Drosophila melanogaster: one gene and its partner. The protein of the gene in region 2 interacts with the protein of the main gene of each other region in a pairwise test. Each region holds a gene or a part of one and is shown on either strand. Other genes may lie near its edges.

Region 1 (3,477 bases), on a different chromosome or scaffold from region 2:
TCGCCCGCCAAAACGCGTAAGATTTGCGATCCGCGTTTTCCGAGCGATTGGGACGTCTCTGCCGTGCTACAGGCCAACAGAGAACTTGACGCAAACACTCTTTTCTTCTTGAGTCTGGCGCGGCAGGTGCGAGCTATGCCCATGAAATTCCAGTCGCTCGCCAAGATGCGTTGCATGCGAATCGTCAGTGATTTGGAGCTAGAGCTGGAGAACTTTGATTGCAACGGTGGAGCGCCACCGCCGGATGATTCAGGCGGAGGAGGAGCTGGGAATCTCAAGTACTGCAGCATAGATACTCCGCCACCGCCGCCGCAGGACGGCTCCGTGGTCATACCCCCGCCGCCAGTCGGCCCCGAGGGCTCCACGGAGCACTTTGTGTATGTGATGTCGCCGTCGCGTGTGGAGAGCATGATAGACATCTCCTCCGACGAGGAGGCGACCATGAATGGAGCGCCCTCCACGGGCCAGGTTTAAGCGTATTCGTACAAGTTATCTCTAAATTAAAATTAAATTAATCTCAACTAGGTTCCTTCGGTTGGTCTTTCAATCAGTTTATTTTGGAGCGGCGGGTGATCCGATGCTTAGGTGTACAAAATGTGGAAAAATCTCCGGGACCCGGCAATTTGATGGTACATGACTTTAGTGCGAATGAATTTCATTCAAAATCTCGATGACGAAGGCATCCTCTACTTAGGACTGCACCTTGCCCTTGGTGGTGAAGGCGAAGTATGCGAATCCGCCGACCAAGAAGGCGGCCAAAAGCTCAGCCTTGATCCAGGGACCCTTGTAGGCACCCTTGGTGGGCACGGAAATGTCGAGCAGCGACTTCACCGATGAAACCTTGTCGCCATCCCGCTGGGCCTTGCGCACATTGGCATAGCCATCCTCGTCGAAGAGACGCACCTGAACATTGCCGCTGCTGCCCTGCTTGATATCCTCCACCCAGCTCACCTAGTGCAGAACAGAGATTAGCCTTTGCACAAAACTTGACGGGGCTACTACTGGCTCACCTGGTACTTGTTGTCGCCCACCTTGGCCACCGGCACCACCTTGCCGCAGGGGAACTCGGCGAACAGGCTGGCGGGAGCGGCTCCGCTGCACTGCAGCGTGAACTCGCCCACATGGGCCAGCTGGGTCAGAATCGTGGCATCCTGGGTGCTGAAAGAGCTCACGGTGGCCTTGCAGCTACCGTAGACGCCGGACGCACAAACGGCGGCAATCAGGCAAATGGCGAACAGTTGACGGGACATCTTGATCAAGTTATGAGGTGGTTTTTATTTAGTAATCAATGGAATAGGCGGAACTCTACGGCTATCCAACTCGGCGACCTGCGACTTTCTTTCTCTCTGGAAGCGAACGCCACGACAGCACCATACATACGTCACGTCACTTGACAGCTACGAAAATTGCCGAAGTCGTACCAGTTCGATGGTCACACTGGTCGTGACCAGGGATGGCAACGCTCAGTCGAGAATAGCTACAAAATAGCTAGTAGCCCGTGGTAAATTTTTCCGATTTTTTACTTGTTATATCTAAAAATACAGTTTTAGAAAGCGGTTTTTTGTAGTTTCCTAATGACATCTATATGTTAAGATTTCTCCGGGAATGTTTGTCGTTCGAATATGATAGCAATTAGTACGTATACGTAAATGTTATAAAATTCATATAAAATTTGTATATACAAGTATTAAAAATAAGTGCGTATACATAAAAAATATAAAAATATGGGATTCATTTTATTTGGAATAAAGTTATTACTAATGATGTCAGTCCTGTCAAAATAAATCTTTCCTAATTATAGGGGCATTGAGATATGTAGACTTAATTTCCTCCCATATCAATTCAATTTCTAGCGATTTCAATTTCAAATATATAATTTGAAAATATCGAATTTTAAATAAAAAACAATTATATTAAAGTTAAATATTAATAAATTAAATTAAATTTATAAATAAAAATATAATGACAAATAGAATTCTTCACCAACAGGTTAAATTTTTGTAGTCTTACTTTGATTAAAAGACTAAAATTCTTATTAAATTATATTTATACAAAATTGTAATGTTTTAAGGAAAAATTGCTCAGCTATGATCGAGTACCGAATGCAATCCATCACTTTGGAGGATTCTGCTTTAGATCGCTATTGCGCTGATATTAAAAACATCAAAGTGAACTTTGATCAAATTGGTGGCTTAATTTGTACTTAGGCAAATACCCAAAGTTCCTTGTCTAAAACGTCTTTGAGGGGATTCCTTTTGCAATACATTTACGTTGGGCTGACTTCATTTAAAATATGTATGTAAGTATCTATTTAATTTAAAGTCAATAGATAAAGTCCAGGCCGTTCCAGTCACAGTAATTTCGTACCGACTGCATTTCTAATTAAAATAAGTTTTCGTCTGACAGTTTTGCTATGGTACCGTTCTGTGATCGGTTACGACTAAGTCCAATATTTATGGCACTTCGATTGCAATTGATTTCGAATTGCAGCAGTGTCAGAGGAAACGGGAGTCCTGTCCAATCGTTGGGGGAGTCTTCAAAGTCGGGCCATAAGCACCGAGTATTGACTGGTGGCAGTGATTAATGCCCATCCAACTGGAATGGGGCTTTCAGCTTTGTTTTAAGTACATTTTATTGGCAATCGGAAAATCGGATACTATCGTATAAATACTTTGGCTAACAGGCATACGAATGTATGCGGATGTGACCTTGAAGTGGGCCTGATTTGGTTTTGCTTTTTTTGTTTACGGTTTTATGCCATTTTGTGTTTGTGTTTGCCGCCACCGTTCGAATCGGCTCCATTTTGCTATGTTCGTTACTTTCCTTTGATTGCCACCGCGCACGGAACTTTTCCACCGAACTTTGCATGTCTTTGATGAATTTGAAATTGTCACAAATGTGAAAGTTTTTCACTTGCCATCCCATCCGGTTGCCCATCCGCAGATACAGATACTCATACTCATACTAATACCGGCAACAACTGAATTTGCATCTAACATTTTGCTGACATTGAGCGACTTGTACGCATTTCTCCTTCCTCCTCCTCCCCTCTTCTCACCACTCTGCCAGCCTTTTTCCTGCTTCTTTTTTTTGGCTACTATTCATTCATTCATGGCCGGATTTGCATATTTGCCAAAAATGCCGTAATCCTTTCGATTAAGAGGCGTTCGGTGGGTGATTCGCAAATGAAAACAAAAGTTCGTGCGGGTTCATTGAGTCGCAGTCGAAAACTTGCCAGACCCACCGGAATTGCACGTGTCTTTGGGGGAGGAGTGGGTTGATCCGGGGTTGGCAGGTGGATCGACGGATGCATTGGGCAAAATAAAGTGCACTCTGACCGGAAACGAAATTGGTACTTAGATTGCAAACATAGAAGCAGGCGCGATTGTGTATAAGCCAAATTTTGGCGTTCTATATTCTACAATATTTTAATTTTGGGAGTTTTTCAACAACTCGCAAAAATAAATATTACAATAA
Region 2 (3,102 bases):
CACGTCTGCCGCCGCCTTCTAGTCGGGTATTAATTCCATGCAAACTGCAGATTTATGGCACGAACTTTGCGAATCTGGGTTGGTCCTCTTTCGGTCTGCCGCGGCTCGTTATCCCGAGCTGAAATTGCACGGAAAAAGGTCAAACATATAAATTTGTGCTTTCACTAAAATAACCATAAATAATATGAGTAGTGCGTGCCATCACATTAAATAATCACGTAGATTACGCGTTTGAAAACGTTTTCTGAAAGTGAACGCAATTTTAACTGCGTGTAGATAAAGTGGATCTATAAACGTTCGTTTTATATTGTAGACGACAAACAATATATTATTTTATTCCACAACATAAAACGTTATATATCTACTTGATTTATAAAAGTATTTACAGGTAACCACCAGGGGCTAATATTATTATCTAAAATTTCTAAAACAAATTGATAATCAAAAAAACATCTACACAGCTGGCCCAAAGTAAACGAATGTGTGTTTGTTTAATCATATTTACTTTTGATTCATGAAAAACGAGATTCGACTGATATGTTGGTATATAAACCAGAGGATTGAGCTTTCTTCGTTTAGATCACAAAATCTCCCCAAAACGAAAATGAAACTTCTTCTGGTTCTGGCATTGGCAGTCTTCGTAGCCCACGTGGCTGTGGCCCAGACAACTGATTCGTCTGACGATGGAGATTACTCTTACGATTACGCTGATGACAACGATACTGCCGGTAGCTCCGAAGACAACACTGCTGATTCTGGAGACACTAGTGATAGCTCCACTGACGTCGACAGTGGAAACGACTCTGGGGACGTCGATTCCTATGACGACTACGAGGGCTCTAGCGATGTTACGGAAGCACCAACTGCTGCTCCAGTTGTCAAAAAGAACAAAAGAGCTGGTGCCAGGAAAAACAACAGGAACAACAAGAATAAGGCAGCAGCTAAACGTCGCAATGCCGCCGCTGCCAAGAAAAGTAATAACAAGAAGGCGGCTAAGAAGCGAACACCTGTTGCCGCCAAGAAGCGGGCAAATGCTGGACCCAACAAACGTAGGCGCTCTGGATAAATCCAGTTTATTATATTCGTAGCTACAAATTATAAAAATAAAAAATTATACCAAAAAAATTTGTTCCCAAAATTACCAAGATTTTTTTCTATGACGTTTATAAGTTAGGTTTTGAATTAATATATAATAATGATAATGATATTTACCAAGAATGTGGTTGTTGGGTATGGGTGTTTATTATTATGAATTTTGTACAAAACTTGAATATCACAGAAATTTTGAAATATATTTAACTATTTCACCCAATGTTCAAAAGACAAGAAAACATTCTACATAAGTTTTTATCGGCACGTGTTTTTTCCCTCATTTGTAAATAAATATATTTTTGATAAACAAAAACATACACCGCATATACTTGAAAAATTATATAATTTTAAAGACGTTTAATGTCATATCTATTTTTTCTATAAAACTACTAGCAGGTCGCCTAACGCGTAAACCATAGACAAATTGTTCAAAAATCCAGATAAGACATTTGTGACCTTGGCTCTTTTAATATAAAAGAGTTTATATTACTTTTTCGTGCTCTAACACAAAATATAATTTCATAATTTCAACATATAGCAATCGAAAAATGTTAAACAAATACAAGCAGCACACACAGGTGCTCTAAGCCACCGAAAATTAAGACGATGAATTAAAAAACCAATATTTGCATTCTACAGATGTACATAGAAAAATAATGTAAAAAAGCTTTATATATTTATAAATTTCTTCAGAGGAGAAAAAACTATAAATACCCAGTGTTGAAGACTTTTAAACTCAGACGTTTATACCTAAGGTTACCTATCTGTTCGTTGACTCTATAGATACAAAAAAAAAAAGATGAGGCTGCTGTTGGTTTTAAGCCTGGCCATATTGGTTGCCTTCGTAACGGGTGCTGATGACACTGACGATGACTATTACGATTATTACGACTATGGTGATGACTACTATGACGACTCTGATGTAGAGTCCAGTTCGGAAAGTGGTGTTGGTGCATCCAGTAGCTCAGAAGATGATGCTAGTACCTCCGAGGACAGTTCCTCCGGCGAAGCTTCCGATACAGGTAGTTCTTCAGAAACTTCTGGAGATGGTTCCTCCGCCGAAACGACCTCCAGTTCAACTCCAACCAAGGCAGAAAAAGCCAAGAAAACTGCTGCACGCAGAGCTAGACGGCGCAGGCGCACCACCACCGCTGCTCCCAAACGCAAAGTAGCGGCAGCCGCGTCTGCCAAGAAGCAAACACCTGTTGCCCAAAAGAAGAAGACACCTGTGGCAGCCAAGAAGAAGGCGAATACTGCCGCCAACAAACGCAAACGCACAGGCTAAGCAGTTCGAAAAAAGGATAAATTCCCCATAGTCACTGAAAGTTTTTACATCAAACTTTTAAGAGGACCAAGAGACATCTTGTAGAATCTACATTAGTCTGGGAATATTTCATATGTTGTTTTCTGTACAAAAAATCCATATAAAAATACAAAGATAAGGAGACGTTTTGTAATTTACCAAAAATATACATTATTAATCCAAAATATACAACAATTTTGTATTTGAGGGCTTAAATGATCTTTCTTCGGAGAGAAACTAATCATTACAAATCGTTTCTGAATACTTAAAATCGAAAGCCAACTAAAAATCAAGTATTCCTTAAAAGGAAAAAAATTTTTTGAACGAAACATTCATTTAATAAACTGTTGTGGTTTATATACAAGTCTCTGCAGCCAGATTAGTATAAATCGTTCTAGTGGCGTAGTATTACCAAAGTCAGCTGCATTTTGCTGCATATTTTTAGGCGCCCACATTTACATTTACCAGCGCTTTGGCGCATTGTGTTTCTATTTAGACGTAAGCCAATAGCATCTATAAATAGTAATTATGCCCTCATACAAGTAGACATAAATGCACAGGGACACTTAATTACTGATGCGCACAGGCGACAATTGTTTAATGGCGAAAGGATAACGAAAAGGGAGGAGCCTGAGTAGCGCCATCGGCCACCACAATGGGACCATTGTTTTCGATTTCAATGCCGACATTCTGGCAGTGGCACTGCC

The links. Proteins that work in one complex are often made in the same cells at the same time.
Region 1: the proteins of CG9040 (region 2) and Tapdelta interact in a two-hybrid assay, tested with the Drosophila melanogaster proteins (one large-scale study listed by BioGRID).

Annotation. Positions count from the first base shown.
Region 1 is NT_033778.4:11,369,763-11,373,239, forward strand, and holds Tapdelta (Translocon-associated protein delta), read right to left. Parts: upstream 1,574-3,477; 5' UTR 1,251-1,573; coding exon 1,011-1,250; intron 952-1,010; coding exon 691-951; 3' UTR 538-690; downstream 1-537. Other genes in the region: CG13204 (uncharacterized protein), read left to right, coding at 1-474.
Region 2 is NT_037436.4:13,986,051-13,989,152, forward strand, and holds CG9040 (uncharacterized protein), read left to right. Parts: upstream 1-1,827; 5' UTR 1,828-1,891; coding exon 1,892-2,377; 3' UTR 2,378-2,576; downstream 2,577-3,102. Other genes in the region: CG17362 (uncharacterized protein), read left to right, coding at 605-1,066.